Lytechinus pictus: one gene and its partners. The protein of the gene in region 1 binds, or shares a complex with, the protein of each later gene. Links are inferred from orthologs where the notes say so. Each region holds a gene or a part of one and is shown in the gene's direction. Other genes may lie near its edges. The genes, in order: mediator of RNA polymerase II transcription subunit 7-A-like, cyclin-dependent kinase 8-like, mediator of RNA polymerase II transcription subunit 21-like and cyclin-C-like.

Region 1 (7,522 bases):
TTGTATGTTAGAGACTATTGAATGTTCTACTTGTGAATGTTGTACATCAAGATACTATTTTGTTGTCATGGCTTTCTGAATGATTTTTATCTCGTAGAAATGAACACCCAAGTTTAAAGTAAGGAACTGAATCGTTTCCAACTGGTTACTTTTATTCATTGTCGGCTTTTTACTTGAGAGGCTTTTTTTTTTCAGAAATAAAATCATGGTGTACACGGTTAAATAATTATGTTACATATCTATGATAAAGATGGTGAAGACTTTAAAAATCAAATTACTATCACTGTCCTGTGATTTATGCAGAAATAAATGTCAGTTTTCATGGAGATTGATAGCATAGTAGATTTCCATGTGGTATGCAGGTTGGGGGGTAACCTTTTTCCCCTCCAAAGCAAATTTCTTTTTGATGAAAGTTGTGTTTTACACCTCTTTTTTATGATGAAAGAAATTTGTTTAAAGTCAAGTTGTTGCATTCCTGAATATCCTGAAACATTTGAAAGGGGAGTCCACCCTGGATTCATTCTGGTTTAAATAAAATCAGAAAAATAAAGGCAAATCTTGTTGAAGGTTTTGTAAAATCCATCAAAGAATTACTGGTTCATATATTTTTTTTCAAGTTTTAATCATAGAATGTTGTGGAATCACTTGTGGGCATCTGTCCCATTAGCCATGTACATTTAATGTCAATTCTATACAGTTTTTTTTAGACAAATTGAAATGTTTTATGTGTGCATTCAATGTGTAATCAAACACTTGTTTCTGTCCTAGTCATCATGACATGAAAGTGCTGCTCACACATGATTCGACATAATCGAACTACAAACTCATTATTTGATTTTGATGTACTAAGTATTTGCCCAACCTTATGCTATTATCAGTTACTGATTGACCTTTATAGGGTGGACTTCTACTTATAATGTTCTTTTGTGAGTTTGGGGTGTTGTGTATATTCTAAACACGTAAAGTGAAACTTCTCAACTTCATATAGCAGTACTGTGTAGATGCCTAGATTATTATCTCCTTGATATAGAATATACATGTGCATTGTCATAGTATAAAGGTACATTGCATCCAGTCCGGGTAACTGTCCCAAAATGTATCAAATCACTTGCAGAACGGTTGCATAATAACTTACGAACCAGGGGTCGGTTTCATAAAGCTGTTCGTAAGTTAAGAGCGACTTTAAGAACGACTGGTGATCCATTCTTATGGTAAACGGTATATTCATTGGCGATGGTTAAGCGCGTAAAAAGGATCACCAGCCGTTCTTTAAGTCGCTCTTAACTTACGAACAGCTTTATGAAACGGGCCCCTGACATGGTGAATGATCGGTGTGAACGGTGTCATTGGAATAGCATAAATAAATAATTTATTCCCTCTTTCATTCCTGAACCGTACCTCTTGACTTGGGACTAGATTGCTTTTATCATTTATATTCCACAACTTTTTTAAAAATTTTCAATGGAATTGCAAACTTTGTTCTTCTGTTATTTTCTGTTTTCCCTTTCACAAGAAGAAAAACTAGATGCTGCTTTTATAAAAACCTTTTTTAACCCCTTGTATTCATTGTTAGATAGGGATGAGTATCTAAATTATTTATAAATCTACCTATGTGTTATGGTGTACTGTATACACCATATATTTCATCTGAAGACATATTTTTACCCAACTTTTTCTAAATTGATCTCAATTCTTTGTATAGATAAATTAAGAATTGAATTCACTGCCGCTATTTAGTTGCAAAAATTGATGAGGTTCCACCTAAAGGAAATATTTCACCCTCTTTGTCTACCCCCTCCCCTACCAATAAAAAACCCCAACGATTAATTGAAAAAGGTTATTGAAAAGTTTTATTTGTTTGGAAATTCCTCATTTGCAATTGTATTTGTTATACTTCTGAACCAAAAATTTCTTTCATTGGGATGTCATGTACTCACTATTGTAACTTGGAAAAATATGCATGTCTGGCTGACAAGTTGTGCAATTAGAATTATTGGCCTTCTTATCATTTGTAAAAAAAATAATAAAATACTGTAATTCCATTTATTATTCATTTAGCAAATATATTCAATACTAATCATAAATTTCCAAGAATTGCTAAAATGGATCACAAAAGTGAAAAGGGGGTAATTTAATGGCCTAGGATTATTTCACGTTTGTGTAAATGTTCATCTTATATTGCCCTTACATTTGATTTTTTTTCTTCATTTTTTATAGTACCGTACCAATTCTGAATATCAATATTCATTTAACAGTACCTATCCATTATCCATCAATGTAAAGACTGGATATTGTTTTGTGATCAGTACAAATTTTGAAATAATAATATTCATATAATTACCATTGCTATGCATTCAGTAATAAGACTATGAATATTCATTTTTAAACAATATTTATCATGAATAGTAATGTGCCTACTCATGTCACAATACAAATATTTCATTTGCATTTTTATCTCTACGAATATGCATATTTTAAAGAGAACTGACATTCTTCGTTATCTTTATATTTTCAAAACAAAACCTCCCTATGAATATTCATTGTTGAACAGTAGATTTTACAGTTATTATTCTAAGTCTACTCTTATGTACTTCCAACAATATTTCTTATTTAATAGACATATGTTTGTAAGTACTTGTTATGTCTATTACTGCCTACACATTTCAAATATGTGTTTTATTTATTTCGGTGGGTGATGGGATTAATTTAATCAAAGTTATCTGGGGTTTAAATTCTTATAAAGTGCAATGGAATTGATTAGCAAATGTATTCTTCGTTTCAAATCAGGAGTTTTTTTTTTATCTTAATAGATTTGATTTTAGCCCTGTGATATGACATACATAAGTGTATTACAAAGATGATTGATTGTATGTGAAGTAATATTATTCAATGCATCTCTTTCTAAACTTCTAAGGCACAGTGAAACTCGACCCTTTTTTTACTTTAAAAATGTTCCCGATAATATGTTTACCATATTTTGTATGATCATTGGGCCAATGATAAATAAAAAATCTTCCATGTCTCTCACAAATGAAGTTCATTTGCATGGTGTATTTCTCCACATTCTGTGTCTGTATTGGCTTTGAAGTGTTCAGAGGGTAAAGTGTACAGTGGTGTTAAAAAGTTAGTGCACCCCACCAGAAAATGTACTCCTTTATGCTGAGTGTTCAATGGGCAATCCTTTTGATTATTTTATATATTCAACATATTTGCAATTCATTTTGTTTATTTCAATTGATGCCATCTATTTGTTATATATATAATATGTATTGTGTTTTTAATAATCATAAAATAAATAAACAAACTAACTAACAAACAATGGATACAGGAGCACTACAATGTTTAGCAAGCCCAGAGAAACAAACCTTATTGAATTTAATATTTTATCACCTGACTTCACAATTACAAATATGTCTTATACAAGGCAGAACTTGAGCACTTGAAATATATTCATTTTCTGGTGGGGTTCACTAAACTTTTTAGCACCACTGGATCTGGATGTATACGATGCAGGGCCCTTCTGGGCATAAACGCATCGGGTACTTGACCTGGATTTTTGCCGGGACCGGCAGGTGCAATACACCGGGTGAACACCCTACTCTTTGACGAATAGTGTATTGGTTTTAACGTGCATAGGTTGTACCTCTCCTATACACGGGACCAACATTTGCGTCCTTTCCGATGGACGGAGTGTTTTCCAACTGTATTCACACCTGCACTGAATACAGTGGTGAGGCACGCTAACACACAACGCTATAGCATCAGACTTTTTTTGTTAGACGCGTTTCGGCATGAGCGGGACTCGAACCCCTCACGTTGAGATCTACGATCTTATCCGAAACATGCGCTCTAACCGACTGAGCTACGCTGCCTCCCTACTGTATGTACATGTAATACATTGAAGGTCATGGCAGGAGATGGATATAGTGATCATTGCAATTAATAATTTCATAAGAGGGGGGAAAAGGAGGGAAAAGAAGAAGAGGAAGAATAAGATGATGATGGAGAAGAAGGAGGAGGAGGGAATGTGGGGACGAAGCTAGACAAGAGCAGAGGAGAAAACTCAGGATCACCTTATTTTCTTACTTTGGGAGGGGTCAGTCTAGAAAAGTACACAAAAACGTATATAATTTTCAAGACGACAAGTCCAGAAAAAAATAGATTCATGTTGGATTGTAGGTTACAAGGATAATGATGACAGCCAATGTAATATTTCTAGATGCTCAGCCAATTTAAAGAATTTAAAATTCAGAAATAAAGGAAAGAATAAACAAGGAATGGAAAAAAGAAGAGATAAATATATAAAGAAGCGAAGATCGGAAGATATTGAAAGAAAGGAAGGCAAAAAAAAGGAAAAAAAGTGATAGGGCTGGATACTTGTATAGGGTCGATTATCTTTCATTAATACTATTAAGTTAGATAAAGTCATGTTCTTGCAATCATACAGTATACAGCTTTTGAAAAAAATATAAATGCTAATTTTGTGTTCATGCATTATAACGAACACTGTAGCGCCATCTTTAGACGATTGTCATCCAAGCTAGCTAGCTAGCCGGCGCCGCGCCGAAGAGCTAGACTAGAGGTACGGCAGAAGAGAAATCTTCGTTTTTCCTTGCCTATTTCTAGTGCTGATCTGTTCGAAATTTGTTTCAAATTTTCAGTCTTCGAGTGGCTCAAACATCAATCCAGGCTAATGTGAGTTCATACGAAATTTTACGCTTATTTAAGTTATTTTAATGACTTGCCGGTGATCGATCACTGCGAGGCAAGTTTCATGTGTGCGGTATTTTATTGCAAGTTTCATGTGTGCGGTATTTTATTCCTTCGCCTGCCTGAACTTCCGGGGAGGAGTCTGGCTTGTGAAGGCTAGGCAAAGGCAGCTGCGTAATACTGTGTTGATTGTTAATCTGACTCTGAAGTTAGTGTTGCACATGTGCCTTAAATTACTTAGTTCAGGGGGGTCAAGAGTCAAGTATGACTAACTTAGGGTCGCATTTGAGTCGTCAACAGACGGCTGGCAGCCGTCTGTTTCGAGGAGTTTTTCTTTTTACATTGTTTTTTAAATTTCTCCTCGTACACAGTCACAGACGGCTCACGATCATGCAGCCGCCATTAGGGGTTTAACAATGCAAAATCCCCTTGACGGGGCTCATCGATTTTCGTCTTTATTTCATATTATGAAATTATATAATATAAATAAGAACTGGACCAAAATAAAGCCAGGTTATTATTCCATTTTGGCCTGAAATGCACCAAAATAGGAAAAAATTAAACTTAAAAAAATAAAACTAAAATTAAAAAAGGAAAAAAACAACAAAAACAGTGACTTACATGGAGTACTTCAGCTGTCGCGCAACTCCCACTTCCCTGGTTTATACAAACTTAATACATAGTATGGCCATTGGCATTGAGTCCCTGTACAGATCGAGTTAGAACTTCGGTCTCTGTATAAATTGGTGAGTGGATCGAGCCAACGGAGTTCAGCGGAACAACCAATATAACAGAGACCAGTGGCGTAACAGGCGGGGGGGGGGGGGGGGGGGCCCTGGCGGATTTCACCGGGAAAATAAAAAAAAACAGGGAAAAGAAAAAAAGGGAGGGAGAAGGAAAGGGGGAGGAAAGGAGGAAAAGGAAAGGGAAAAGAAAACGAAGATTTTTTTTTTTTATGGAAAAGGAAAAAAAGCGGGAAAAGGTGCGAAAGAAGAACATTTGACAAAGAACAAATCATTCCAAAATAGGCTTATGTGATGCAATAGCATGATGGGAAATAAATTAAAAGATGACAAAATGGCAAACAATAGCGGGAAACGAAGGTACATTGTAGAATGGAATAAGTCAAAAGCTAGATAAGAAAAAGAAAAGGGACAAGAAAAAGAAAAACGATAACATGACCGGGCTGCCAAGGATTGAAAATAAAGAGCGAGAAGAAAGATGGACTGCACACAACATTGTGCTATACATGTAAGCTTGCTAAATTTTATGCAAATAAGCTACCGGGGCTTTGCAGTACCCGCAGTAGGGGCTCTTCATCTATAACCATCAAATGGCTCTATAACGCCCCCGTTCAATGACGTTCAATCACTGGCATACAGGCGCGGGGGGGGGGGGGGGGGTCTTGGTTCCACACCCAAGAGGAAATAAAATAAATTTTAGGAGACAACGTATAATGAAATGAATGGAAACAATGAAATGTGTTATTTGCTGAATATAATGGAAAAATCTATCACATAATTAGAATTTAATTTCAATAGGCAATTTTTTTTTCCAGCTCGCTTTGCACGCTGGCGACTTAACAAATTCAATTCACTTTACTCGCATCCGGGAAAAATTTGGCTCTTGCCCCCCTGGCCCGCGACCCCTGTTACGCCGCTGACAGAGACCAAAGCCTTTGGTCCAAGTTGTCACATGCGGTATACATCATCAGGTCTAGCCTAGGTCTAACGTTACATGTAAAGCCAGGCGTGACTACATTTGTCAGATCATGCCAAGAGGACGCGCACTACGTATTGTCTATTGATCAATAGGATTGCGCGTTTCATTGCGACTTTAACTTTTAAGTCATACAGTTAAATCTTTGTGAAACACCCCCCCCCCCCCCCCCCCCGCGGATTTAAAAAAAAGTTCAAATGGAAATTTGATCTTTTTTTAAATTCAATTTTTACGTCAACTTAGGCCATGTATTTGGCAAAGACAAAGTGTGACTGAGTATTAAAACAATCAGCATAGAGATCGAAGCAAGAATATAACTTTTCCCTGTGTGGCTGAAATTCAGGTGATTAATGCATTTTTTTTTGGAGAGAAAAGCTTTGCAAAAATTGATCTCAAATGAGTTTGCTAAAAATAGGCATTTGAATTGGGCTGGCTATGAAAGTATTATTTTTACCAATTTACCATGCCAAATACATTAATCATGTACCGGCAACAGAAATTGAAAGGAAATAAGATGGAAGAAATTAATCAAATAAGATTTAAAACATTTCCACACTATAAGATAATTGGCACTTTCTTGATAATATTGTTAACTTATTTTCCCTCTTATTTTTCTGCAGACAACATGAATGAACCACAGGGAGTAAGCTCTCTCCCTCTCCCTCCAATGATGTATATTGCTAACTACACTGATGAGCGAGTACTCAACAAGACCACGCCTAAACCTCCTCTACCCGTACAAGAAGCATATGGAATGTTTGGAGCCACATTCGTTTCCAATGATGATATCATTCGTCCTCTCGAGTCGCAGGGTTTGAAGCGTCTTCATCCGCAGCGGTTCGACCACAAGAAGGAGCTAAAGAAAATCAACCATTCCATTCTTGTGAACTTCCTCGACCTCATAGACACACTTATCGTCTGTCCGAACGGGCCAAGGAGAGAGGAAAAGTTGGACGATATGAATCTCCTCTTCATTCACATGCATCATTTGATCAATGAATTTCGTCCACACCAAGCCAGGGAAACGCTGCGTGTCATGATGGAGGTGCAGAAACGACAGAGACTTGATACGGCAGAACGTTTCCAAAAACAC
Region 2 (7,556 bases), on another chromosome or scaffold:
TGTACGTTATCTTATCCCGCGCGAAGCGCATTAAAGCAAAATTAAATTTGAGAAAAAAATAGTGAAAAAAAGTTGATAGACTCACAAAGCTGCGTTTCTTCCCACATTCTTCCTCCAACCCCCCCCCCCCCCGATATCAGGCCTACTATGCCGAATAACCGTACTAGGCAAGTTAATATTTTTAACAAGACCAGTAAAAATCAACAGGAGCTGCCGTTGAGGGCAAATTAAGGATACCAGTTATTTTTAGTGTCTTAAGAACAATGACTTTGTTTGCAGATCATTACGAATTATGGAAAATGAACTTATTAAAATGACGGTATTATCATTTATCTTTATTATTAACATTATTATCAACCCCAGCCCCCATAATTCGTAATGATCTGCAAATAAGTCATTATTACGATGTTGGCAAGCGAAAAGATTTCACTGAATTCCATAGGTGTGTGTAAACGTTTGTCCTGTACTATATATATATATACATATATATATACATACATCCCGGATATATATACATATATATATATGACCGCCGAAAGACCGATTTTTCTTCCGTGGAAACGTGCATGAAATTAAAATTCGAAGCTCATTTCCACGGCAGAAAAATCGGTCTTTCGGCGGTCATATATATGTATATATCCGGGATGTATGTATATATACATATATATATATATACAAAAGCTTACACACACCCGCCTATGAATTCAGTGAAATCTGTTCGCTTGCCAACATCGTAAAATTTACTAGGGCGCCTATATCTTCAGAAATATAAATATTTACCATGACGATCTGATCAGTATCAAATGAAACGAGTGTATCAAGCTCATTCACATCATTTGGACTCGTTGGGATTAAAGTATATTTCAGGTGGAATTTTCTTTGAAAAAAAAAGAAGTAATATTCGTGCCAAATGGATTATATTGTTTTTATTATATTTTTCAAACATGCAGAAACATAATAATATAAAGTAAAATCTATGGTTTATATTATATTTTCTATCATGATATATCACCATGCACTGAACAAAAAGTGTAATCTGAAATGTTTGTGGTGAGTAACTATCACAAATATGAAATGTTTCTGTAAAGTTGTTATTTTTGATTTGTCTAAATTAGATTTTTTTTGGGGAAAAAACAATGCATGACACCTTGAAATTTTCCCGAGCTCCCAGTCGATCCTGCATGATGACAAATTAAAGTAGATACGAACCAATAGCGCCATCTCGAGTCCTCAACTACTCATACCTGGCCAGTTTCCTGACCCATAATGCTAATGTAGTCTAGTAATATAGACCCACTTAATGATAACATGCTAATTAACTACTCACTACCGCAAAAATTATGTTGCCAAGTAGCAAAACAATTACTTTTCCTCTCAAAACATTTTAGTTTCTCTACAAATACAAATATATTCTCTGTAGTAAATATCTGAAAAAGTTTATTTTAAGATTATGTATTTATAACACAAAGTCAATGAGAGACCACACTCACTCCCCCCCCCCCGGGGGGGGGGGGCAGTCAAATATATGTCTATACACACGCGTGACCTAAAAAACGCGTTTAAAGGGGTGTTTTTTTTTCAGTTTTGGACTCGTTAAAAGGTATCAAAAACACAGATTTTCAACTAAGAAAAGGGATGGTTTTGAAAGACTGGTCAATGGTCAATCGCGGGGTCAAACGTATTTAGGGTATGTTTTTTTTCCAAAGCTCTTTTTTTTTTATAAAGACTAGCCAAACGTGTTTAGGGTATGTTTTTTTCCCAATTAGCTTTTCCCCCCGAGGTCATATTTTGGCGACTCGATCCTGTTTTAGGGGCCAAAGTGTGTAAATAAAGCCAGCGAAAAACTTGTTTAGGGGATTATTTTGCACACAGAGAAAAAACTCGTTTAGGGGGTGTTTGACAATTTCTTGGTCACTCGTGTGTACAGCAATATATTTGACCACCCCCCCCCCCCCGGCCGGGTCCGCAGCAATGATGAAGGGGCATGACATTTGTTCGCATGGGTGTCGATCGGTATTCTTGGTTGGGGGGATGATTGACACAAATGTTCTTGTGGATGGGGATCTTTCAACATTACCCCCACTAAAATCACAAGTTAGGACAATTGGGAGTGGTTGATATGCATGGTGTTCTTGCAGTGGCGTACCGTGAGTCACGGCATTGGGGGAGGGGGGTACCAGCAAAATTTTTGAGTCACTTAGTGAGTGCGCGAAGCGCGCTCAGTTGCCAGGTATACTGACCTAATATAGGGACATTTTAAGGACAGTGCCATTAAACGGATATGTATCTCACTGCTCAAATAATGCGAGCGCGAAGCGCGAGCTGAAAATTTTTGATATGCAGACCAAAAAAAGGACATTATAAGCAAATTTTTGTAATCATGATACATACCTGTCTCGCTAAACAAACAATGCGAGCGCGAAGCGCGAGCTGAAATTTTTTTAAATATTTACCCCAAACAAGTACATGTTAAGGACTATATTTTAGGAATCCATTAAGAGTATACATATCTCACCATAGTCATCTAATGCGAGTGCAAAGCGCTTGCTGATTTTGCTACATCTAAACACATGAAGCACTTTTTGTAGTCATTGTAATCATGATAATACGCATCTCACTCATAAAATATTGCGAGCGCGAAGCGCGAGCTGAAAATTTAGGATATTCAGACCTGAAGAGAGGCATTCTAAGGCCTGTTTGTAAGAATTCACTAAGACCATACGATACGTATTTCACTAAACAAATGATGCGATCGAAAATTTTTGATATTCAGATCAGAAAAAGGGACATTTTAAGGACTGATTTTTAGGAATTCATGAAGAGCAGTCATATCTCACCAATCTACTAGTGCGAACGTAAGCACGGACAGGAAATTTTTATATTAACACCTTAAAATGGGGCAATCACTTTAAGTAGTCATGAAAAAGAACCATATGTCACTACATAAAACAATAATAAGTCAAAGTGCGAGGAAATATATTTGGTGTATATTGACTTAAAAACGTTAAACAGACAATGCGAGTACCGGGAACAATGAAGAAATCTAGGCCTGAGCAAAATAAAATTATGAAAAAAAAAAGTTTCTTATGTAATAAAACATAACATTATTATAATATAACATTATAATGAACAATAATTTCTTCATTCCCACTACGTTTCTCTTCCTTTCTCCTCTTCCCCGTTTTTTTTTTGGCCAGCCGATTGGGGGGCACGTGCCCCCATGCCCCCCCCCCCGTAGTTACGCCACTGTGTTCTTGGAAATTCTTTCATTATTGCAGTGTACTGTACTTATACTTTTTTTTTGAAAATTCAATTTGTGTTACAAGTAAGCCCATTCTAAACTCATACGAAAGAAAAAATGACAAAAATTGTCTGGACCATGTACAAAGTGATCTGTTTATTGGACATGATGTATACAACTTCTCTCTTAAATCTAACCCGACTGGCGATATTTTTTTTCTTCTTAATGCATGATGATAAAATGCAGATTCGGACAAATTAAGACTAGCACAAAGTACAAACTGTGTGGCTTCTCGTGCGCAATCGGGCTCAGTTACCGTCATTCCTTAGACGATTTTAACCCTGGATTTTAACATGTTTTAAATGCTTTATAAGTGCAATAAACAAAAACAAACATAAAAACAATCAAAACTCAACTGTCATGTTATGATATTTCTCCAACATTTTCTTGAACCATCAGTGTGTAATATCAGCTAATATATGTGTTAAAATGAAATTTACGTACCGCATGAGTGTGCTCATATAGAATGCAAAACTGTCATCCCTTTCCAAACTCAAAAGAGATTTCTTTTTGCCAAAATAAGAAAGAGCCAATCAAGTTTAGTTATTCAAGTCCATAACAATAACAAGAATAACATGGAAAAAAAATCCGATCTTCATATCCGAAGATACGCTTTAGAGAGAAATGAATGATTATTCTTTCTGAAACCATTAATTGATTTCACTTATTAAAAATTGTATAAAAAAAAATATGATCATATTACCACTGGTGGGATGGAACACCCTATCAACAAAAGTTGTTTTTCGTCGGGGTTCTTTTATGTCATGTGTTAAACAATATCATATACGTAAACATTTCATTCTTTTTCATCTTGAACCTCCACCCATCTGTTTAAAAGTCCTGGAAAAGAATGTTTTTATTTAATAACAATATACACAAATTGCGAGGGAAACAAACTGATTGATGGCATACTATAATCATCACTATAATCATCATGATCAAACCTTTACATTTTTTCATCATCATAAATTGTCTACCCTAAATTATTGGGGGGATGATAATACAGGCCATCCCCCCTACTTGAAATATTGGGGGGGATATATCCCCCCCATCCCCCCCGTGATCGACACCCATGTTTGTTCGAGATCAAATTCGTGATAGCATAAACATCTTATAAGATACAGTAAATTTTATGGTGTTTGGCACCTGTCCGCTTTTCTTTGAATTTCCTGGGTGTATCCCCGGGCGGCGTCATGCCTCAACTAGCTGTACCAAAATCCTCCGACATTTCTCCGAACTTGCTCAATTAATCCGGATGGCGAATGCGGATCGCACGTTTTTTTTTGCTTCGGGTAGGTATCCGTACCGGTACCGTATCGATATCCCGGGCGAGTCGAGTGACGTCCTAGTCCTAGACACAAACCGGCTCAAACGACTTACCTTTCTTCGTCTCTTGACAGGCTCCGGCTGACTTTTTTTAAATTGTTGATTCTCAGTGGCCATATTTGGTGAGTAATTATTTTCTAAATAATGAAAAAAAATCAGTTACGCGCAATATGTCTTGATTTGGTGAATGGTATCGTAATTCGTATACTTGTCTGATCCGACTGCGTGTCAATTTCCTCGTGCGGCGATTTACTTAGTGTACAATTCGAATTAGATTATCACGAAATCGGGATATCCCTATTTAATATGTGTGTAATAGAGTTGCATGTCCTGATAAACGCAATATCCATGTCAAAGAATTAGTTTTGCTATTTGCTATTTAAGCTTACGTAAAGTCACGAAGTACATGCACAATCCCCCTTCTCTGCGCACGCGTATCTGGCTATCTGCATGATTCTAGTAAAAAGAGTAAGGAGAGTTTTCTCTTGCCTTTTTGATTTTCTACAACACACATTTAAAAAAATCATAAAAATGTGATTTTTGTAACCAAAAATCCGTCCAGACTACAGTACAGTCATGACAGTTGCAATCTATAATATTAGTAAGGTATGGATCATATTTGTATTCACTGGAGAGACTGGAGTGCTCAGCACAGTGCAATTGTGGCATAGACTCACTGTGTACAACGGATAGACCATCACTCAGACTGAGTCAGAGTCAGACTCAGTCTCGTCTCAGAGCTCAGCGAATTGGAGACCGCTGATTGGTCAATGCGCAGATCATGTCATGACTACGACGGTCGCCAAAATAATTCCCTAGGACTGCGTGCGAAAGTATTGATACTTTAGCGATAACAATATCCGGAAATAGTCTTTGTGCGATCGGATCGCTCCAGTATCGATCGAAAATTATTGAGACTCTGGTGTCTGCAATTTCATGCATATTCATTTTATTATTATACATATTATTTTTGTGCAGGCCCTCTATTGGTGAAAAGTAACACTAAGAAAATTTTCAATTTTCAATCTCTATTTTTGATTCAGAAAAAAATACTTAAAAGACTTCAATTTTTTTAAGAATCAATATATGACGAATAGTTGTATGAAAATTGAGAAGTGTAGAGACCCTTTTTTGACTAAATAAACTGGGGCCTGTTGCATGAAAGGGTCTTTCGTAGAACCATTCTACGTAAGAACGAGATATCGCTCAACTGTTTCACAAAGCCGATTTGGGCGATACGAAGAATGGTCCTTGGAAAGACACCTCCAGACATGTCCTACGTAGGCATGATCTTCTTTGCACACCGCCCGCCACCGTCGGCATTGAGAGAAAATGCGTTTACGGCAAGCCACACTGACATATCACCTTTAAACATTTTTTGGGGTTGCACACTGATGCATTTTATCTGGGATGGCGCCAAGTTATTTTTTATATGGGGGCTATTTGTCATCAATTTCAGGTCGTCTTTTTGCACGGCAAGACGACCAAAAACAGATGTCATTTTAACTTCTCCGGGCATTATGTCCGGGCCTAATGTAGGCCCAAATATTTTTTAAATATGTTTTCTTTTATTCTCCGTCCTATCCCCATACCATTTCCATTAATTTTTTTTGAAATAACGAAATGGGCGGCACTATCTCTCTGACCCCTCATGCTTTCTCAATGTAGATGATTAAATAACATGAAAACAAATTTATTTAAAAGAAATTATGTAAGGTAAAAAACGTGTTAATAACGTTCAGCAAAAAAAAAACACGATACAAAACTAAAATGTTAAACATGGTAAATCATTCATTTATTTTTATTTCATTTTCATTATAATTATTTTTTTTTTGCTGAGATTAATTTCAATCAATGAAAATTAATTGTCGGATTTGGGCTAACTTGAGATGTGAAACAATGAAACAAAACAAAAAATCTGCAGTAACAAAATAGCTAATTGAATTTAAGATACAGATTAGGCCTATAGCTTACGAATCCATCACAATTATTACAAATGAAGATAAGCTAGTTCATTAAAGAAAAGATTATGGGAAGTCCATATGAAGATGCGTATTTCAAATCGTAGGGTAGGCCCCTTTCGGCCCCTATGTAGGCCTAATGTTAAAGCAATAATGTAGTCTCTATACTCCTCAACTTTGAAATGTTGAACATATATATTTTTTATATTCTTAAACCTTATATTCTTATATAAGCTTCCATAAATTAAGTGATCAACTTTAAAGATGACCAACGTTTATGATCATTGTAATATTTAGCATTATTTCTGTAAATAGTATTTTTTCCATTGCGGATTGCACACCTTTTCTATGTTTAAATTGTTATTACAAAGCACTACTTTATCCTCTTGGACATGTTTGCAGCAATTTTCATATTTTCCTGGTCTTCGGTTACTTATCATGCAACTGAGGTATGTCAGGGACTCGGTTTTATAATTATAAGGGGAGCAATAAAAAGCTCTCCTAGAACTTTTAAGGAGAGCGGTAGAGGAGCACTTCAAAAAGCTCTTCTTCAACATACAAGGGGAGCTTTTTGCCCAATTAACAAAATGGATGGAGGAAATGTATGTACTATAAAATTACAATCAACAACCAAAGGAAGTATTTATAATTGTTTTACAATGTATTGTAATTAGATTGTGTGTTGTAAAACCTGTTTTAGTTAGGTTTTGACTTTGGCTAAAAGTTAAGTCACTGACAATTTTTTTTTTTTTTTCGGGGGCTCCATTTTAATTTTTTTGTCAAATTCCGGGGGCTCTTTTTAAATGCTACTTTTTTGTATTTTGAGGAATACCTGTTCACTTATTAAGGAATTATTACTTTTTGTTTAATATTGTATTATTTTTAAAGTTATATATCATGTTTAGAATCTTGGATGTGGGTGTGTGTGGATGGGTGTGTGCGTGTGTGTGTGACTGTGAGTTGGACTT
Region 3 (7,768 bases), on another chromosome or scaffold:
AAATTCAAGAATCTACACCTTTGGTTTTCATGTTAAAACTGAGGAAGAAAGACTGAAAGAGAGTGAGAGCAAGAGAGACACTGAAAGGTCCGAACTTGATTAAAATGAAATCAACTTGATACTCACTCTGTCATGGGTCTTTCATAATCACAAAACACGATGCATACTCATTTATTTTATGGGAAAGACTTACTGAATCGTATTTTTTGTCAAACATCTAGGTCTAACTTTTAACAAGAATACAAATCACAATTTGAGAAAAAGTAACGACTAAATATGACCATAAATAGGTCTATGATATGACATAATCATGATCGAATACACCTCTCTTTTCCAAGTACCGCTGTTCATTCTGTGTGTCCTAAAAAGGCACTGACTGACAATAAATCCCTTATTCCCAAGGGCCTCATGAGCTTGACCACAGCCAAGGATTTTCACTGCGTAATCATGATTCGGATCATTCAATTAAGTAGGGCACGCGCCTTTGTTTACAAAACATGCCAAACATGATGCTTGTCTGCAAGTCTGCATATTCAGACTCTATTTTGCTTTGAATTTTCTCTAAATCCGCGATTACAAGTTTTCTCAGGTTCTCATCTTTGAATCGAATCATTAGCGATATGTTGATTTAGATATACAAGTAAATTCAATATTACAGTTACAGGTTATTGGTTAACAGTACAGTGCAGCCGAATTGAAGATTAAAATAAAAGCAATTGCAAGTGTGCGTTATAGAGAAAGACTAATCACCAATTGAACGTGGTTACCAACCAAGGAAAGAAGAAGTGGTCCGATTTCTCCCCACGTGGACATCGTGGCAAATCCACATTCATGGCGAGTCTGCCCTTAGTTACGATGCCGGTGGCGCATGGATGGTCAGTACCTATTCATACTTATTATCATCAACGGACCCATTTATCCCTATTTATTGACATGTTCATGATGTGATTCTATTTTGTATTTCTATTTTGTGGTAGTGCGGTATTTCTCATCGAAATCATCTTCAGGATTATATTACCGACCAAGGCAATGTATTTCATCGAACGAGCGAATTTCGAGAAATTGCATTCTAACAACATTCCCTATTATGCGCGGGAATATGTCCTTAGAGAAGGGTAGGGGTTGCCTTCTGATTTTCCGAGTGAAAATTGGGAAGGAGGGAGAAAGAGAAAGAATTGTAAGAAAAGTAGGAAAAACAGGAGAGGTTCGGGCGGGTCGTATTATTCTGATATCTCTATAATTCACAAAATACATTACAGAAAATCACATTGTCTTACGGCTATTGCCCCCTCCGCATTTCAAGTCAAATATCCTGGCACTCAATGCTCCTGCCCTGCCCCATTGAATTTCAATCAGAATATGGCAAAAACGGGAATTTATCTTTTTTTTCTCAGAGTGATAAAACGGCTTATTATTGATTTTGTATTTGTTGTTTTTTTAACTGCAACTTTCGAGGATTTAATATTAACCAAGAACGACTGGTTTAATAATAGTGTCCATCTGAAAACTAGATAAAGACTCAAGCATTGTTTTTGGCAGATGATGACATATCCCCACTTGTTCTTATGTATTTTATTAAGGCGGCAATTGCCCTCACGAATACAATTTTTGAGCGAAGAGGAGAGAGGCCACTGCCGCCAAACACGAAGTCTCGTTAGAAAAAAAAGAAAAGGGGGAGAGACGGAGAGATATCCGCTCTGGGCGATATGCATGCAGCGCATGCTGCACAGTCATGACAGTGGGCCTTTCGAGCGAGTTGCACGCACGCTAAATAGTAAGGGCACTGATCGAGCGAAAAGCCAGTGAATGGAGAGAAGACGGAATTTAGGAGGGTTCTCTGCTCGAAACCGAAGCAGACTCAGTGGCGAGGCTCAAATTTCTGACAAGTATGTCTTAAAAACAAAACTTTCATGATGAATCTCGTTCATTTCAAAACTTAGTAATGACAATATCTAGCGTGTTTCACGGTTGTCGGTCAGGGTTGTCGGGGACATTCACGGTTGTCGGCCAAGGCTCACAAAACTTTCACGGTTGTCGGCGGCCGACAAAGGTGACGCGTGTTGGCGAGAACGTTGCATTGACTTTACATTAAGACAATGACCACAAATTTGGATGAATATGCGCAACTTAAACTGGAATAACTTTCTAATTTCTTGATGAAAATTAAAGTTCTTGGTATCATTTTAAAGGTCTTTTTAAGAGCTTTCAAGTGATACCAAATTTATTCATATTTGATGATTTTCATTTTTTTTGTCACATACCTACAAATAGGCCTAAATTATCTGCAAACATATTTTATTCGTCTGTTAAAATAAACAAAATATTTGTAAATGATGTGATATCTCACAAAATTGTATAAAATTTGATTTAAAAGCAAGCTTACGAATTGTATTTGTTTATCATAAATTTGATAAACACCCCGCTTATACTAACTAGTTGTGTGAGTGCTTTCGTGAAATCGGCCCCAGGGGCCCGTTTCTCAACACCTGGACAAGTTAGTCATATCTTTATCCACCAACCACGGAGTTAGTTCCAATCTTACTAAACCTGTTTCACGAAAGGCTTCCTAACTAGAATACCGTGATATCGATACTATCGGTAAAAACAGCAGACGAGACGTAGCCTTAGTCACAAAATATCATAATTTGCAAAAAGAAAAATTATGACAAAATTGCAAATATTGTGATAAATTGGGAAATACATCTTTTCAAAATAATAGCACATGTAAATTATGCATCATACATACTTAGACCATGAAGATTGGAGCATTCAATTGCTGAGAAAATTAAATTATGAATAGTTTATTTCATGACTAGAAAATCACATGTGGACGTTGAGATGGGTACCCCCGTGACATCGAATTTTAATAGTTTACGAAAGTAAACCATAACGGTTTTCTTTTTAAAATGATGATAATTATACGCCCTTCTACGATTCCAAACATCATCAAAATATAGTTTAACAAAATCAAAAATAAATATTTGATACCGAAACATACGATTTGACAATTTCTATGCATAAATTAGAGATAGAATTTATCCAAATGTTAATAGGGGTCTGAAAACAACAAATACGAGTCCAGTTATGGATGGCCTGACGTGGTAGAATCTTTATCGATTAAATCATTTTACTATTTCAAAGTGAATGGTTTTGTGGCGTTTTACCAACAGTTTTTATAGTTTCTTTGTATTAGAATTATCATTGAATGCATTATCCCACTTGTTTTATGATGTAATTTCAACCTCTATGATTGATTACGTAAGATTATTATTTTCAAATTTCTAGGCACTTTTGCATGTCATAGTCTACCCATGTGTAGACCAAAAGCTTCAGTCTCTGTATTTTGGTTGTTCCGCTGAACTACGTTGGCTCCACTCACAAAGCTTCAGTCTCTGTATTTTGGTTGTTCCGCTGAACTACGTTGGCTCCACTCACCATACATAGACTGAAGGGGATGGGGCCCCGTACCTACAGCCAACGTATAGTGAACTAGCGTTTTATAGATCGCGATTTAAAACTGTTTTTTAAGCAAAATTGAAAGTTTCATGGTTTCCATTATCAGGTAAATATAAATAACTTAAGTAATTGCATACCTTGGGCCGGAGTTATTGAAAAAAAATCCTCTGGATGATTGAGAAATATGTCATCTAAGACATTTTCACCTGACTTGACGGTTTTTCTTGCAAGTTGCCATCTTGAATGACGTCATTATCGTTATTAACTTAATGTCTCGAATCGATATATCGCGATTATAACTAGTACTAGTATCGTTTATCTTCGGTTTCGTTCGCATATGGAGCAGATCGTATAATAATTAATATCGAAAGCAATATCGATATCACATTCGTGATTGTTGACGTTCGTTTGTAAATATTTTATAGTTTGGCTGCCATTTTGACCATTTTTATCGTGTTCAACCCAATTAAACATCGGTAAAGTATATTTTTCATGCCTTTTTCATCTATATCGTTTAAAGTATTTAAACATTGAGATATAAAGCTTTAAAAGTTTGTTGTTTATACATCCTTAGATTGTAAATTCGATGTGTAAAATTACATCAAACTTTGGACTGTGAATTGACAAAAGGGAGGGAATGAGAACACATGCGAGCCCACACGTACACCCTACCGTCGGTAAATGGGGATTACAGTAAAATGTCAGAAATTGTTGAATAAATCCCCAGAAACGACGGTTATTCGTCTAACCCATGTGATGCTGCCACTACGTCATTAAGAAATAAGTTATGACAGGTTCGGAGGTGTCATAAATATTTAGTGAGGTTGTTGTACCTGATCTTGGTAAAGAGGGCTTCGTGAAACGGTTAGCGGACAAGTAGCTCACTATCTCCGATTTAGTCAAGAAGTTAGACTTATGACGGTGTTGAGAAACGGGCCCCAGGCCCCTGACGTCGCGTCGAGCGCGAGCGAGAGGATACGGAAAAAAACAAATCACACCCCCCAAGTTTCGGGCGATGCCTTCAATGCATTTTCGACAATATCGTACTTACCTCCCCGGTGTGCGATAAGCTTCGCGTTAATCTTTGATTTCTTCTTCGAATGAATCAATGTCGGATATCTGAACAACACAGATGATACAACAATATATCCACCTATTATAGACAAAGGTATGGCGTATGCAAGAGTACTCATTTTGGACAGATCTCAACTTCTTCCTCCTAATGTCTACTTTGATTTGGGAAACTCGCCGTGACTTTGCAAATCATCAATCTCCTTAGCTTTAATTTTTGCATTTGATCATAAATTTTGACAGTGCGCCATCTACTGTTAAGCTTGCTACAGCTGAGAAAACAATAAATTGGCGATGGCAGACCGTGTCACACAACTTCAAGACGCTGTAAATCAGGTAATATTATTTGCTACTGATGCATATTATAATTTGATTAATTGTGAAATTGTTTGAATTACAAAAAAGTGGTTTGATAGCAAATGGTAATCTGTCAAGATTGTAATAATACTAAGTTTCTCAATCAAAATATATGCCGGCCCCACGTATTCGTATTTGTGATGTTTTTTTTAAAGCCAGGAAGGGTCACACTCACAGGGTGGCCACATCCCATGTCTAGTCTGCTGGGCAAACCCTTCGCTCGAGTTAAGGGTCTGAATGTGCAGCCTACTCATGCCTTGTGTACTGAAGGCTCTCTCGCGAACAGCAAGTTTTGTATGTGCTAGTCTTTGCGTGGAGGCACACTTGTTGATCAAAGTTCCAATGAGGGTCTGTGCCTGCAGACTATCCCATGACATGTCTGCGCACTCACACGTATTGCGAGGTTAGTATGCTATATACAGTACTAACCTCGCACTACGAACGTGTTTACGCAATGGATTTTAGAGTTTGTCGGTTAACATCGCTTCATAACCTTGTTCATTGAATGAGTGTCATATCATAACGTGAATAATGTTCAACATTGACTTTGTTAGCCGAAACTTATTCCGCTGACTCACCAGGGGCACTCACACGTATTGCGAGGTTAGTGCTATACAAACCTCGCACCACGTACGTGTTTACAGTATGGATTTTAGAGTTGTCGGTTAACATCGCTTCATAACGCGAAGAATAAAATGTTCAATTTTACGAATTTTATTAATGGAAAAAGCATGCAAAAAAAGAGCAAAATCGCTTACCTCGGCCTGGAAAGTTGCTTCACATGTCTCTTCGACGGAAATAAAAGGAAGGTCATTGGTGGTGCTAATACAATTCACAACCTTAATTCAGATTGTCGGTATTTTTTAAACTAGATTTGTATTCATTGTATGCGCAATTCCAATGATTGTTTGATAAAATAGAGACACCAATAAATGCAATTACAGTACTTAAAAAACATACTTTTTATAATATTTGCTGACGATAATACTTTTTTATTTTTTTTCAAGCATCGATAATACTTTTTGGAAAATATTCAAAGCGATGACAAATTAAACAAAAAATATAGAAAATTCTATGTACCTTAAGTGCTACCGTTCATTTGTCAATTAACGTTCCCCCAAAGTCTTTACAGTAAAAAGATTGGACACTTTGCCGACTTCGCGTAACGCTTTGCATCAATTTACGTGTAAAATGGTTTTTGTGCCTAGTCTTTCCCTTGTGGTGTCTTTGATATGAAGATAAATCGCGCGCCCTCTTTAGCTCATTATACAAAAAATTTGGGAGATGGTAGCAGGGTCCGTATTTTGCCAACAAGAAGAAAAATCAACGCTTAAATGACGCAATTTGAGGGATATTCATCATATTAGGGGGAATTGACTTGACATCGTTCGGAAAGTTTCTTATAAGTACTTAGTTTTACAATTTTTTGGGGGAAATTCGCGGGAGTTTGATTCAATTTTGCATGCGCTGTTCCTTCAATTTTCCTGTAGACGGCGGCAATAATGCACCCATGGGTGCACCAGGGCGTTTTCGGCATTAAAATTCTAACCCAGGCAGGGACTGGTCCGTGTAACTGTAATATTAGTTAGCGGGTACTCTCCAAAATGGGGTAGAATGGGGTCGCAATAGCGCCCCAAATAAAAGGGGAAAACATAAATAATGCACTTACCTAGATTATAATATATGGATGAAGGTCTATCGTGTCACAGAATCCTGACATCGAGGCATAAACTGGACCCTCAAAAAAAGGAAAAGTTCTGTCACGTTCGTTCTCCTTCTTTCAAAATTGAAAACAAAATGGCCGATCGAGAACGAACGCGACATGGAGGTCTAACTTTTCCTTTTCTTGTCCTCACCTGCTTCAATTTTGGAGGCCTCAATATGTTTTTTTATTTTTCATTATAAAAACGGGATAAAAAATATAAAAAAATAAAACTAAAAAAATCCCCAAATCCTTTTGGAAAACATTCAGAAACAGTTCCTTTTGCAACACCCCCTCTCTCTCTCTCCATATTCCTCTGTCCATCTGTCTAATATCTCTTGTTAATTTCAGCTTGCTGAGCACATGTGCAATAGCATTGGTGTACTCCAACAGAGTGCTCAGCCGTCCAAGTTCCCTGGGTGTGAGAAACAAGGTACGTATGTCCATGAATGTCATGAAGATTACAGCTCTCTATTTTGACTAAAGGAAGAAAGTAATGTTTTTAGTGCGTTCACATTTTACAAATGTATTTTCACAGAAACACAATGATAATGCTATGAAGCCTACAGTATGCACACAGTGGCAAACTGCCAATTGACTGTGTTCAACGTACATGTATAGCCCTGCTCTACAGAGCAATTCAGAGACCACTGATTGATTCATCCCGCAGATCACATAATGACCACGTGTTCACCACAATTATTTGTTCAATAGGTGTGCGAATGTATCAATAGCGATAACGTTATCAGGCCACCTTTTCTGCACATGATATGATTATTTAATTTTTATTCAGCAATTTCATGGATATTCATGCAACGCTCGCAAACCCGGAACTCAATTGACTCCGTATACATTGTGATAGATTCTGTGAACACTAGCGAATAAAATGAAACACCAACGCTATTGGGTAAAATTTTGACAGAAAAGCAAGAAGGTAATTGAAATATGCTATAGGCCTACCTGTGCTGTATCTGTTTGAAAACAGATTCTCAAAAATATCTCTCACAATTCCAAAATTCATATGAAATATAGGAAAGTGTCAAAATTCTATGTCGATACGAGGTGATAAAGAATTGAAGTCTTGTTTTGATAGAATGCTGTGCTAGGTACTGGGAGGTTTGTACTGCGCATGCTTACTATAATGTCATTCATAAATTAGCTGGTGATAGTGGCTGGATGATG
Region 4 (7,595 bases), on another chromosome or scaffold:
TTATAATACAAGTGTCATCAGCAAATAATGAGTAATGGAATAATTTTGAAGAATTTGTAATATCATTTATGTATACGAGGAACAGGAGGGGCCCGAGAATAGAGCCTTGCGGAATTCCATATTTAATAAGTTTACGCTGTGATTGGACACCATTGACCATGACAAACTGATATCTGTTATGCAAATAATGTTTGAACCAATCTAACGCTAACCCTCTGACACCATAAGCATTCAGTTTACGTAAGAGTATGTCATGGTCAATGGTGTCAAAAGCTTTTGACAGATCCATGAATAAACCAAGACAATAATTGCCATCATCATTTTTTTGTGATATAAAATTTGCAATGTTTAATGCACCCATGGAAGTTGAAAAATTTTCACGAAATCCAAATTTCTCTGGTATGAGGATATCATTTGCTTGAAGGTGGGAATATAATCTTTTGTGAATAATCTTTTCTAACATTTTCGAAAAAAATGGTAATAGTGATATGGGTCTATAATTATCCAAACAGGTATTATTTTGAATATTTTTAATTTGTCAGGAACAATCCCTTGTGATAAGGATTTATTAAATATTGCACAAAGTTGTTCAACAAATAAATGAATTGAGTCCTTAAGAACTCTGGGGGTCAAGTCATCAAACCCACTAGCTTTTGATGATTTCATAGAAGAGAAATTTTTAGAATTTCATGAATAGATGTAGGTTTTAGGAATAATGAAAAGTAGCTCTTATCAACAGGCAAGAAGTCATGAAATATGTGAGAAGAGGTAGGTATATTATGTGAAATTCTTTCAGCAATATTGACAAAGTAATGGTTAAAGGAATCTGCGATCACACGAGGTGAGGACATATGAACATTATCATTATACATTTTAAGTGGTATATTTTGTCGCCTCTTCCCCAATAACCCATTGATATTATTCCAAGTTTTTTTTTCATGTCACCTTTGATCTTATAAAACTTGTTATGAAAATATCTTTTTTTAGACGATCTGATAATAGTAGTAAGTATATTTTTGTATGTGACATATTTTTTCTTACTAACAGATTTCTTCAAATATTTATGATATAATTTCTGTTTGACGTTAATTGATTTAAGCAGTGGCGTAACTACGGGGGGGGCATGGGGGCACGTGCCCCCCAATCGGCTGACAAAAAAAAAAAAAAAAAACGGGGAAAAGGAGAAAAAGAGGGAGAAAGGAAGAAAACGTTGTGGGAAAGAATACATTATTGTTCATTATAATGTTATATTATATCATAATATCATTATGTCATAATATCATAATTATGTTTTGTTATATTACATAAGAAACATTTTTTTCATAAATTTATGAAACATAATTTGCTCAGGGTCTATGTCTTCATTGTTCCTGGTGCTCGCATTGTCTGTTTACCGAAATCCTGTAATCTTAATATAAGATATTTCCTGTCCGTGCTTACGTTCGCAGTAGTGGATTGGTGAAATATGTCTGCTCTCCATGAATTCCTAGAATCGGTCCTTAAAAAATTTTCAGCTCGTGCTACGCGCTCGCATCATTATTTGGTTAGTGAACTACGTATGGTCTTCGTGAATTCTTACAAACAAGCCTTAAAATGCCCCTCTTCAGGTTTGAATTTCCTAAATTATCAGCTCGCGCTCCGCGCTCGCAAGATGTGATTAGTGAGATGGGTATGTTAATCAAGATTCCAAGTGCTTTATGCGCATGTTTAGATGTAATTTTAACAAAATCAGCAAGCGCTTATTGGCACTCGCATCAGATGACTATGGTGAGATGTGTATACTCTTAATGGATTCCTAAAATATATAGTCCTTAAAATCTTCCTGTTTGGGGTCAATAATTACAAAAATTTCAGCTCGCGCTTCGCGTTCGCATTATTTAGTGAGACAGGTACGTATCATGATTTGATTACAAAAGATTGATGATAATGTCCCTTTTTAGGTCTGAATATCAAAAATTTTAAGCTCGCGCTTCGCGCTCGCATTATTTGACAAATGAGAGACATATCCATTTAATGGCACTGTCCTTAAAATGTCTCAGGTCAGTATACCTGGCAACTGGGCGCGCTTCGCGCGCTCACTTAGTGACTCAAAATTTTTGCTGGTGCCCCCCCCCCCAATGCCATGACCCACGGTACGCCACTGGATTTAAGTATACCAGGTGTGACCCATGGTCTTTTACCCTTCAACTTATAGTTGTGCCTCTGAACAACAGGAAAACAATCATTATACAACTTGGAAAATAAATGTATAAATAAATCATACGATTTGTTTGCATCAGTATTGCTATTAACAGGAGTCCAATCAACATTCAATAGTTTGTGTTTAAATTCTAAGAGTCGCTCATGTGTAATAAGCCGACCACTGGTTGTGGTGTTGCCATCAACACATTCAATAATCTGGCAGACAACGATGACATAAGGAAAAAATAACTGGTTATGGAGAGTTGTTGGACAACCAGGCGCGGATCCGGGAGATTAATTGCTTACCCCCCCCCCCCCCCTCCCTCAGCAAAAGGGGAAAAAGAAAGAGAGAAGGAAATAAAGGGAAGAGAAAGAGGAGTATAAAGGGAAAATGAAGAGGGAAGAAAGAGGCTTTAGCTGATCCGAAAAAGCCCACAGACCCATTGAAAAGGTAGTGAGGGGGCGGCCCGGCGGGAGGGGGGTGAAGGAATTATATGTAACAGAAACAACCGAAAGAGAGAGAAATGAAAGGAAAGTAATATCAGTTGTGATTATTAAAAACAAAATCGTGAAGCCATAGGTTGGAATGTTAATGAACAGATGATGATGACACAATGTTGGAAGCTTGTTTCGCTGGAGATACGTTGAAGCACCCAAGACTGGGATATGTAAGGTTGGAAAGATGTTGGACATTGAGATGATGGTAACAACGTTGGAATCTTTAATTGTGCCAAACCCAACTTGTAAACATGATTTTCCAGCTCTTAATTGCTGTCTTTTCATCTTTGATTGTTAACATGTTTGATTATCAATAAAGATAATTTTTTTAATTGAATTGAATCCTTTTTGTTGCTTAATTGGTTGTTTAAAAAGGAATAAAGTACAATGTAAATTTGGTCTCGTTGGTAATATGACGTTGCACCAACGTAATGCCAAAACTGGACCGAAGTTGAGCAAATGTTGACATATTCTTTGTCTTTCATTAGGCATTCATGAATATTCATTATCTAGTCACCAAAATTTTGTAACAATTAAACCGCAAATAACGTAATACGCAATTATTCCTCCCTCATAAGTTTCACAAAAGTATGTAGCTTTGTCGCCATATCATTTTCATAAAATAGATAATTCATAGACGAAATGTTCAAGGTTAAATAAAGAAACCTGTTATTAACTGCAATTTTCTAAGTATCGCAAAGTCGTCATATATAAATAGGAATGACTGGCAGGATAGGTGTAGGATATGTTAGGATTAGGATATAGGATTGTAGAATAGGATAAGCAATTAGGGAATAAGAGTGTAAAAGTGGCCCTCACTTTGAAACTAATTAATGTTTTTATGATTGCCATACGTAGGGATTACGTTGGCCCAGCGTCAATAACTGATGTTAGGCCAATGTTGGAATTTTACGCAGATCCAACATTAAATTTGATGTTCATAATTGTTTTATTGTTTTAAAATTGACCGTTGGCGGGGTGGACATTTTAACATTGATTAGCCTAACGTCAATATATGATGTTGGGTCAATGTTGTAATCATACACAAGCACAACATTATTGTCTGATATTGGCCCAATTAACGTTTTAATTGATGTTGGCTCGATGGACACTTTTTTTTACACGGCTCTAACAATTTGATGTTGGTTCAATGTTTCAAATTGACCGTTGGCGGATCAGCCATTTTAACATTAGCACAACGTCAATAAATGATGTTGGGACAATTTTGGAGGCATTTTATAGATAGACCTAACATTGTTATCTGATGTTGGTTCAATGTCCTCAATCGGATGTTGGCTCGGCAAATACTTTAACATTAGTCCAACGTCAATAAATGATGTTAGGCCAATATTAGAATTTTACAAAGGTCCAACATTACAATTTTATGCTGGTTCAATGTTTTAAAATTGACCGTTGGCAGGTCGGATATTTTAATATCAGTCCAACGTCAATAAATTGGGCCAATGCATCGCTCGACATTTGCCCGACCTTAATATAGCACAACCATGGCGTAATTTCCTTCAGCAAGAAACTGATCCACAATGTGCTGCACTCAACCCAGGTGAGGTAAATGGGTACCGGTAGGAAGTTATTCCTCAAGAAGCTGTGAGCGCTATGAACGCCTAGCTTAGCCGGGTAATATAGGAGCGCCTTGAGCACCTAAAAAGGTGGATATGTGCGCAGTATAAATACCCTATATTACAACGTTGGCCCAATGTAAGTTTGCTAGCTGGGATCTGGGGTTGGGATAATCTCATGGTGAAAATATCTTTTTGCACCAAATGCCCATTTTGACATATAAGTGCCTTTTCTGGCTTTGCCCGACCCCCTCCCCCTAACGAAAGTATGTTCCGCCGCCCCTGTTATGACAGCAAAAACTTTCACTGAATTACGGGGGCGGGGATTCAGGATGGGGTGACTGCGCTCTGTGTATTTCCTTTTTTTTTGCTTCGTCAGAAACACCATTAACAATTTACACCAATTACAATTGACACAAAGAGCAGGAGCGAGAAAAGTCGTTATTTATTGATTAATTGGAGGTTTTTCGCTATAAAAATGGCAGGAAACTTTTGGCAAAGTTCTCATTGGTAAGTGTATTCTTTTAAAGATTAATCTGTTGACTAAGGAGCGTTTCGTGTATTATTTTGTGAGCAAATATGCGTCGGTATTTTGCCGCACAGTACCGGTACTACTGGCTGTGCCTGTGCCTGGCTCAGTCAATAATGCACTTCCCCTGGGCTGGCCTCGGCACCCGTACCCGGTACTCCCTACTAGCCTGGAGGCGTATGGGGAGTAAAAATCATGATTCATGATTCATTCATTCTCTTTTTCCTCCACAAAATTGATGTATTCTGTACTGACATGGTTCAAACCTCCTAAACCAGAATGACAGCGTATATGGAACATATATCTGTTTACCTTGGACCCTAGGAATCTCCAAGAGTCCAAATAGGCACTTCAGTCGGGTGGGCGATCGCGCGGACACAGCGCTAGACGTAGATTTTTGCATTGCAGTGAATGGCGAGCGCCTATCTAACACACACAGTTCGCTCCGCTCGGCACTTTGGCCGAGCGCTGGAGTTGCATTCGGCATTGCTCGAAAAGACAGAGTCAGTTTCTTCCTTTATTCCGCTGATTTTGATTGGTCAAAAATTCCCGCGGTTGCTTCGTACATCTTCAGTAAACATCGGAAATATACAAGACAGAGTTTCCCTTACCTTCATGCGAGGGAAGGACCTAATATTCAGGTATTTATTTTTCTTTGCTTGAAATCACCTTCTTGTAATCATCGGATCCCTTGTAAACTCGGTCAGTAATAAAATTGTATATTTGAGAACATTTTGTGAAATTCTAATCAAATTTGGTCCGTAGAGAGTTTGCGAATATGAGCTTCAGTTTTGAGTGTCATGGGGTGTTTGTGAATCTGACTCGGCCGATCGAGCAGGGTTGTTTTGAGCGTGTGAGTGACGTCATCCCCACTGCGTTGGGCCTGAGATTAGTCTTGGTATTCAGACACAGTATGTTTCAGCCGTTGTATATTTTTTTTAATTACGATTTGAGCTCTGTTAATTATGAAAATCAAATTGTTATTTTGAAAATAATTTTGTAGAATTCGTGTGAAATAAGTTTTAAGAGCAAAGCTGCAAGTAAACTTCAAGAATTTTGTTTGATAAGTGATTTTTTTGTTGGAATGCGTCTGAATGTCTAGAATATGGTATTGTTAATGAAAGTCGTATTTTTGAATGGCACAGAAAGCTCCTTGCATGAATTTAATTTAGAAATCGGTTTACATACATGAGATGTGTTTTATGAATTTGATATCTGATTTATGGACCTTTGTTCTGGTGTTAATTATTAATTTGAAGATATTATGAAAAAGTAAGAGAAGACAATAATGAGGCAATTAACAGTGATGATACATTAATAATATGAGACAATAAACATTGCGACAATTATAATAATCATTATGATTATAATGATAACAATTATAATTATAATGATAATAATTATAATTGTAATAATTATTGAGACATCAATTCTAGTATTTATTGACAATAATAAGTATTACAATAATCATTATTATAATAAAATAATTGTTATGAAAACAATTATAATGATGTAATTTGAATTGTAATAATTACTGAGACAATAATATTAATGAGATATCAATAATAATCATAATAATAATACTTATAATTAAAATAAATACAATTGTAGAAATAATTATAATTATAGTAATTATAATTATAGGCCTTATAATTAATGAGACAATAATAACTATTATTACAATAATAATAATTATAACATAATTATAATGATAACAATTATAATGAAAGTAATTATGATTGTAATAATTACTGAGACAGTAATATTGAAAGGTCATCAATAATTATTATTATAAAAATTATTATGATAATAAACATAATCATAATTATAATTAAAGGCCTTATAATTATTGGGTCAATAATAACTGTTATTACAATAATAATAATTATCATAAAATGATTATAATGATAATTATAATGAAAATAATTGTACTTGTAATAATTACTGAGACAGTAATATTGATAAGTCATCAATAATTATTATTATTATAAAAATTATTATAATTATAAAAATAATCATAATTATAATTATAGGCCTTATAATTATTGAGACAATAATAATTATTATTTCAATAATAATTATTATTATTGAATAATTATAACTATAATTACTATAATGATAGTAATTATAATTGTAATAATTATTTAGAAAATAATATTAATGAAACAAAAATAATTATCATAATAATAATAATTATTATAATTATAATACTAATTGGGACAATAATGAAACAATGATGAGACTATAATGATATCAACAATTTTATTGAGACCATAATAACAAGAAAATAATGAGATAATAGACAATTAAAATCAATCTGTTTTTATTTTTTTCTAGAAATCCTAAGATTATTATTTTAATTCTCTTTCTTTGATTACAAATTATATTCATTGAAAACTTAATTTCTAATGTTCAAGCAAAGAAAATCAATATCAAGTCATGTTTACCCTGTGCACAAACCTACCACAGGGCAATTACCCCCGAAATAGGGTTAGGTTAGGTGTAGATTTTTCGATAGGGGTACAGTGTAGTTGTCCGGGGGGGGGGGTAATTGTCCAGGGTGGGTGGGGGGATGGGGGAGGGGAATTGTCCGAGGGTTGGGGGGTGGGGGATTATCATCCAGGGGTAGTTGCTGGAACCAAAGAAATCATATGCCAGGGCTCCACACTAACCAATTATTTCTACTGGTCCAACCTATTCATGTCGGACCAGTAGATACCCAGTTTTTCAAATTTTTACTGGTCCGAACCTAAAATCTACTGGTCCCAAAAAATAAAGAAAACATTAAAAAAAGGCACAAGTTTATTTTT

What was found.
Region 2: mediator of RNA polymerase II transcription subunit 7-A-like (region 1) and cyclin-dependent kinase 8-like share a complex: the UniProt entries of both Caenorhabditis elegans proteins name them as parts of the mediator complex. The link is inferred for Lytechinus pictus from reciprocal best matches to the Caenorhabditis elegans genes let-49 and cdk-8.
Region 3: mediator of RNA polymerase II transcription subunit 7-A-like (region 1) and mediator of RNA polymerase II transcription subunit 21-like share a complex: the UniProt entries of both Caenorhabditis elegans proteins name them as parts of the mediator complex. The link is inferred for Lytechinus pictus from reciprocal best matches to the Caenorhabditis elegans genes let-49 and mdt-21.
Region 4: mediator of RNA polymerase II transcription subunit 7-A-like (region 1) and cyclin-C-like share a complex: the UniProt entries of both Caenorhabditis elegans proteins name them as parts of the mediator complex. The link is inferred for Lytechinus pictus from reciprocal best matches to the Caenorhabditis elegans genes let-49 and cic-1.

Annotation. Positions count from the first base shown.
Region 1 is NC_087254.1:21,134,737-21,142,258, forward strand, and holds the start of mediator of RNA polymerase II transcription subunit 7-A-like, read left to right. Parts: upstream 1-4,522; 5' UTR 4,523-4,695; intron 4,696-7,049; 5' UTR 7,050-7,054; coding exon 7,055-7,522. UniProt on the Caenorhabditis elegans protein: Component of the Mediator complex, a coactivator involved in the regulated transcription of nearly all RNA polymerase II-dependent genes.
Region 2 is NC_087248.1:26,627,084-26,634,639, forward strand, and holds the start of cyclin-dependent kinase 8-like, read left to right. Parts: upstream 1-4,545; 5' UTR 4,546-4,749; intron 4,750-7,556. UniProt on the Caenorhabditis elegans protein: Component of the Mediator complex, a coactivator involved in regulated gene transcription of nearly all RNA polymerase II-dependent genes.
Region 3 is NC_087246.1:11,388,644-11,396,411, reverse strand, and holds the start of mediator of RNA polymerase II transcription subunit 21-like, read left to right. Parts: upstream 1-4,759; 5' UTR 4,760-4,821; coding exon 4,822-4,863; intron 4,864-6,937; coding exon 6,938-7,019; intron 7,020-7,768. UniProt on the Caenorhabditis elegans protein: Component of the Mediator complex, a coactivator involved in the regulated transcription of nearly all RNA polymerase II-dependent genes.
Region 4 is NC_087260.1:4,723,386-4,730,980, forward strand, and holds the start of cyclin-C-like, read left to right. Parts: upstream 1-4,595; 5' UTR 4,596-4,734; coding exon 4,735-4,766; intron 4,767-7,595. UniProt on the Caenorhabditis elegans protein: Component of the Mediator complex, a coactivator involved in regulated gene transcription of nearly all RNA polymerase II-dependent genes.